Canis lupus familiaris: one gene and its partner. The main gene of each other region encodes a partner of the protein of the gene in region 2 in a complex. Links are inferred from orthologs where the notes say so. Each region holds a gene or a part of one and is shown on either strand. Other genes may lie near its edges.

Region 1 (3,168 bases), on a different chromosome or scaffold from region 2:
AACGCCGTGAGAAGTGCTTCAAATGTGGTGTGCCCAAGTCAGGTGAGGCCCTCCTGCCTCCTCCCTCCCCCCCACCCAGGGTGTTGGTGGAAGAGGGGAGGAAGAGGGTGACCAGCCTTGGAGCCTCCCCCTTTGTCATCGGCCTATCTTCTGCGACCCCTGACAGAGGCAGAGCAGAAGCTGCCCCTGGGCGCAAGGCTGGATCAGCAGACGCTGCCACTGGGTGGACGGGAGCTAAGCCAGGGCCTGCTCCCCCTGCCACAGCCCTACCAGGCCCAGGGAGTGCTGGCCTCCCAAGCCCTGTCACAGGGCTCAGAGCCAAGCTCAGAGAACGCCAATGACAGTGAGTCAGTTGTTCCTTCCTTTCTCCCTGCCCTAGGGTGTCTGGGCCGGGCTCTCCAAGACCAGAGAGATGGTGGTGACCAGGACTTAATCCTCCCAGGGTCTCTGCCTGGCAGGGGGACAGAAGTGATGTAGGGAGAGCAGAGGAGGAGCATTGCCCGACTCGACTTTGGGGGTGTGTTGGGAAGGGTCTCAGCAGGTGAGCGACTGAGCTGGGACTTGGACTAACAAGCAGAGTTTATCCAGGAGGAAGAGGTGAGAGGAAGCAGCAAGGGCAAAGACACAGAGGCCAGAGGAGAGGGGCAGTGGGGAGCCATCAGAGGGGTAGGGCTGGAGCAGAGTGTCAGGGGTGCCCCCTAATGCTGGGCCGCTTCCCACAGCCATCATTTTGCGCAACCTGAACCCACACAGCACCATGGACTCCATCCTGGGGGCCCTGGCACCCTACGCGGTGCTGTCCTCCTCCAATGTCCGTGTCATCAAGGACAAGCAGACCCAACTGAACCGTGGCTTCGCCTTCATCCAGCTCTCCACCATCGTGGTGAGGGCGGCACAGGGGGGGGCCGGGCAGCCAGGGTCCCGGCCCCCGGGGTGGGGAGGAGGGACCCTGACCCACACCCCCCCATTTCACCCCGCGCCACCGCGGCTCCAAGCCTGGCGACAGGGCAATGGAGCCGGGGGCCTCCCCGGGCCTGACCCTTCTGCCCCTGCCTCCCTTACTCCCCCAGGAGGCAGCCCAGCTCCTGCAGATCCTGCAGGCCCTGCACCCACCACTCACCATTGACGGCAAGACCATCAACGTTGAGTTTGCCAAGGGTTCTAAGAGGTCAGGACCCCACCTATGCCCCTTCCTAGCTGGCCCCCCAGCCTGGGGCTTCCCATCTCACTCCCAGTCTCTGACATCCTCCCCAGGGACATGGCCTCCAACGAAGGCAGTCGCATCAATGCTGCCTCTGTGGCCAGTACTGCCATTGCCGCGGCCCAGTGGGCCATCTCACAGGTACTCAAAGACTCCCCTCTGCCCTAGCATCCCCATACTGGGGCCACGGTCTCGACCCTCTCGTGCCCTCTCTGCAACCAAGAGGGCTGGCTTGCTGTCTGGCTTTCCCTGGACCCCAAACCCTTTCACAGTGGCTGCTATTGGCTTTGGGGGCCTTGCTGCAGCTCCCTTCCCAGTCACCTCCTCCCGGGCTTTCAACTTCAACACCATCGTGACTGCTTTTCGCTTGTATTTGGTGGTTATTTTATCGACCTGCATTGTTACAACTTTGTTAATAAAATGGAATTTATAAATGGCTGAAAGAAAATTGGGAGAGGAGAATAAAGAAGGGGAGGACAGTGTCTTCTTGACCTGACAACCCAGCTCTTGAACTATGCCACACACATACCAGTGTCAGCCCTGGGGGTGTTTTGGCACATGTCTTCGGTGGATTCTTGTTTTTGCCGCTGCCCTGCCTTGCTGTGGCTGGGTGGCCCTCACACTTCACTTGTCTGAGGCCTGCATGCTTTCTGTCAGCAGACAGACACTAGCCTCACCTGTGGGCAAATGCTTCTTAGCAGGTTCCCCTCCCCCTGCGCCCCTTCCTCTGCTAATGAGCCCCTCCCACTGCCCCTCAGGCCTCCCAGGGTGGGGAGGGTGCCTGGGCCACCCCCGAGGAGCCACCGGTCGACTACAGCTACTACCAACAGGATGAGGGCTATGGCGGCAGCCAGGGCACAGAGTCATCCCTCTATGCCCATGGCTACCTCAAGGGCACCAAGGGCCCCGGCATCACTGGAACTAAAGGGGACCCATCTGGAGCAGGTGAGGCCCAACATCTGTCTCTGAGCATTTTGTGGGGTTAGGGAGGGTGGCAGGCCCTGGGTCCTGCCTGTTCACAGGCATTCTCCTTCCTTCCCTGTTCTTCATTACAGGTTCAGAGGCCTCCCTGGAGCCTGGGGCAGACCCCGTGTCACTGCAGGCTTTCTCTCGAGCCCAGCCTGGTGCTGCCCCTGGCATCTATCAGCAATCAGCAGCTGAAGCGAGTGGCAGCCAGGGCGCTGCTGCCAACAGCCAGGTGAGGGAGCTTGAGGGGTTCCTGGGTGTCAGGCAGGGGATCTTGGGTTGTTGCGGGGCGTGGGTACAGGAGGCTTTGGCAGACATTGAGTCCTGTTACCCTGTCTGGCCCCATGACCAGTCATATACCATCATGTCACCTGCTGTGCTCAAATCTGAGCTCCAGAGCCCTACTCATCCCAGTTCTGCCTTGCCACCGGCCACCAGCCCCACTGCCCAGGAGTCCTACAGCCAGTACCGTGAGTAGCCATGGCCTGTGGGTGGTAGGGAGGCGGGGAGTTCCTTAACAAAGCAGAGAGGAGTGTGACCCCCCCTCCTTTCTCACTACCCCCCCCCAGCTGTTCCTGACGTCTCTACCTACCAGTATGATGAGACATCTGGCTACTACTATGACCCCCAGACTGGTCTCTACTATGACCCCAACTCCCAGGTGATAGGGTAGCCCAGGGAGTGGGTGGGGTCTGCAGTTCCCCTTCGGAGGTCTTCCCTCACACCCCCCTCCCTCACCCCTCCCCCAGTATTATTACAACGCTCAAAGCCAGCAGTACCTGTACTGGGACGGGGAAAGGCGGACCTACGTCCCTGCCCTGGAGCAGTCGGCCGACGGGCATAAGGAGACGGGGGCCCCCTCAAAGGAGGGTAAAGAGAAGAAGGAGAAGCACAAGACCAAGACAGCCCAACAGGTGAACACTGGGGGTCCAGCAGTCACTGGCTAGCTATTTAATGTCTTCTGATGAATGCATTTCTATCATCTTTAAGCCTTTGCTGCT
Region 2 (3,388 bases):
GGGTGTGGAGCCTATTTAAAATAAAATTTTTTAAAATTCTCCAGTGATTTATTTTTGTCTGTCAGTTGTATTAGCATTCCTAGGTGCCTTTAATGTCAGGAAACAGATGACTTACAGCTGGACATCAGGCCCTGTGAAGACCCATCTGTTTCTCATCAATCTTATACTTACCTTAGGGTATAGCCCCTTAGAATGCAATTGAAAGAGCCTAGGATTATCAAGGTCCTTCATCTTGGGTGATTATCTGTGTGGAAGTGTATTTTAGGAATTTTAGAACAACTTGCTGGAACTCTATAAACAGATCCATTGCCAAATAAATAATAGGGCAAGCAAGTTAATGCAGAAACCAAATTTATTGGGACAACTGAGTAGCTCAGTGGTTTAGCTTCTCCCTTTGGCTCAGATCATGATCCAAGTCCTGGGATCGAGTCCTGCAGCAAGCTCCCTGCCTTCTCCCTCTGCCTATGTTTCTGCCTCTCATGAATACATAAATAAAATCTTTAAAAAGAAAAAAAGAAACCAAATTTATTAATGGATTTCCTGAGGGCAGTTTATTAGATATTATCCATAGCTTATGTTGACATCTGATTTTGCAGGGAAATTGCAGCATTATTTTCATTAAGGTAATTAATACTTTTGCAAGGTAAATTTAGTTCCTTGAAGTAGCCATTTTCTAATTCTCCAATTGGGTTTGGCTTTACTTAGCTATCACAGTCAAATCTCTCTAAAATTTATACACTTAACTTGATGTAGGCACAAAATTTTTTCTTTGCCTATATTCCTTCTAAGTGTGCTTGTTCTTCATGCTGAAAAATCCAGCTTCCAGAAATTTGGCTGCTAGATAAAAACTGTTAGGACCTTTCTAAGGGTTAAGATTTCACTAAGGAAAAACATACATATACATATTTTATTATATACAAAGTACAAAAAGTTTCAAGTAAGCAAGCAAAAGGATATAAATTATAGTCATAATTAATAGTTTCAAAAAGCCCTTAAATCACTGAGACCTTCTGCACAAGATATAGGCCACACAGCCATTAATCAGAGATCTTATGGTAGTTCTCCCATAAGAGTAATCTACATTCTAGAGAAGCTGGCTTTTTATGAACTCTGTGGGGGCTAATGTGTTAGGCCTCATAAAGAATGCTTTTCATCTAGGGAGAAACAAACTAAAAATATTGAAGGAAGGAATACTTCTAGAATTTGTTTATTGTTGACAGTAATCTTAATAGCACCACAGAAAGTGTTCAAGACTTCTAGGTAAAATTCAGGATACCTTATAATATGAATAGATACCATTTTGCAGCTCTACAAATGGTTTGGACACAAATGAAAAAGGAGAAAGCAAGCTAAGAATGCAGAATGGAAAAGTCTAGGGAAGGAAGTAAGCCGATATTAGACATAATTCAATTACAGCAAGAAAAGTAAGAGATGTGCCTTCCCAAGACTGAGTTGGCAATATTTACCTATGTAAGTTAAAGCCTAGAAAACAGTGCAACTTCTCTATATGTGCTGCCTAGTGATATATAAGAAAAATATTTTTCATTTGTTAGGAAAGGGCTATTTTATGTCGAAAGCTAAAAATACATATTTACTCAATGTAAATCCCAAATAAAACCCAACTTAATACACAGTGTACTACAGGGATGATAGAAAAATGAGCAGTAGACATTTTAAATTCAACTAAATATACAGTATTGCCTTGATATTTTCCATTTGTTTTTTGTCTATACATAAGGCTCAAGTTCTGGAGTTCTAGGTTTATTTTTCATTTTTCTTAAAAATAGAATTACCGATCCTCAAGTTAACTAAAGATTTATCTAGGCTCGTAGAGGTAATCTGCTCCTTGTAACAGAATGCTCTGTAGTTTCTTCCACTTTAGGCCTCTCCACTGAATTAATGCCTCTGTTTTCTTTGTCTTTTCCATGTGACTTTTTATGCTGTGGACATCAAGGGAGAAATTAAATCAATATAAAGTAACATTTGATACATATTAGCTATACTCTATTTTCAAAGTTCTCTGAGTTATCAGCAAGAAATTAAGTGTGGAAAAGGCTCAGCACAAATTGGAGCCAACAATTTGTATGTCAAGTAGAAATGAATGCCTTCTTCAACTAACCATCAATGGAAGGAGTGAAGTGAATGAAATATTAACTTTATGCATGATTTTTCAAGGCAAAATTATGGATTTTACTGTAGGGAAGTAGTTCTCAACAGAGAGCAATTTTACCTCCCCTAGAGTATATTTGGTAGTATCTGGAGACATTTTTGTTTGTTAAAACTAGGAACTGCTACTGGCTTCTAGTGGATAGAAGCCACGGATGCTGTTAAACATACAAGTTAGTCCACCACAACAAAGGATTTTTCAGCTCAAACAGTCAATAGTGCTGCTATTAAGAAATCCTGCTCTAGGAAAACAAAGATTTGATATCATGCAAAAAAAAAAAAAGGAATTCTATCTTAAGCAGAGAATCTGATGGCTACCTCAAGACATTTTAACTGTCTTTTACCTTTTCTTTTAAAACTTACTTCATATTTCTCACTTAGGAATTATTTTTCACTAGAATTCTCATACTTGCCCATAGAAGGCTTTAAGAGACTAATGACATTCATTGCAGAATCCAGTCATCTATGATAAGACAAATCATAAACCACCTCCAGAATTTCAAACCCAGAAAATTTCTCCATGAGACTGCTAGCAGGGAAAAAAAAATTTTCAGACTTCAGCGGAAGGTGTAAAATCCAATCCCAAGTCTTTTTTGATACTGTAGGGCCTTCCCTGCCATAGATCAACCACTAAGTCTAGTCTTCAAAATGCCATAAACAGTAATAATGAAAGGATTTCCAACCGGGGATTCAGTAGTAACTAAGGTTCTCTTTTCTTAACTTTCCTTCTTTCCTTAACTTTAAAGATAGAAGAGAGGATTGAAAAATGGAAATATATTTAGAGTTCTCTAGTAGTAAAGAATAAAGCAAAAGGCAGGGATGATTTGGGGATAAAATTATCTTGAGACAAAGAGAGAGGAATTTAACAGAAATTAAGCTAGAAGTTTTAACAGCTTAAATCATGGATGGAGGATCTTTAGGCCTTGCTGGGAAGACCTGAAAGTCTAAGAGATATAAAAACATAGGCTTAGGGATCCCTGGGTGGCGCAGCGGTTTGGCGCCTGCCTTTGGCCCAGGGCGCGATCCTGGAGACCCGGGATCGAATCCCACATCAGGCTCCCGGTGCATGGAGCCTGCTTCTCCCTCTGCCTGTGTCTCTGCCTCCCTCTCTCTCTCTGTGACTATCATAAATAAATAAAAAAATTTAAAAAAAAAAACATAGGCTTATCAGAAGCAGCCCTTCAACTGTAAAATGTAGATATCAATGTCTCATGTGAGAAAA

What was found. Proteins that work in one complex are often made in the same cells at the same time.
Region 1: KIF11 (region 2) and RBM10 share a complex: the UniProt entries of both Homo sapiens proteins name them as parts of the large chromatin remodeling complex. The link is inferred for Canis lupus familiaris from reciprocal best matches to the Homo sapiens genes KIF11 and RBM10.

The regions. Positions count from the first base shown.
Region 1 is NC_049260.1:40,973,764-40,976,931, forward strand, and holds part of RBM10 (RNA-binding protein 10), read left to right. Parts: coding exon 1-42; intron 43-166; coding exon 167-343; intron 344-722; coding exon 723-883; intron 884-1,070; coding exon 1,071-1,168; intron 1,169-1,254; coding exon 1,255-1,342; intron 1,343-1,959; coding exon 1,960-2,146; intron 2,147-2,256; coding exon 2,257-2,399; intron 2,400-2,519; coding exon 2,520-2,637; intron 2,638-2,736; coding exon 2,737-2,828; intron 2,829-2,916; coding exon 2,917-3,081; intron 3,082-3,168. UniProt on the Homo sapiens protein: Binds to ssRNA containing the consensus sequence 5'-AGGUAA-3'. May be involved in post-transcriptional processing, most probably in mRNA splicing. Binds to RNA homopolymers, with a preference for poly(G) and poly(U) and little for poly(A).
Region 2 is NC_049249.1:7,211,073-7,214,460, reverse strand, and holds the end of KIF11 (kinesin-like protein KIF11), read right to left. Parts: intron 1,941-3,388; coding exon 1,821-1,940; 3' UTR 525-1,820; downstream 1-524. UniProt on the Homo sapiens protein: Motor protein required for establishing a bipolar spindle and thus contributing to chromosome congression during mitosis. Required in non-mitotic cells for transport of secretory proteins from the Golgi complex to the cell surface.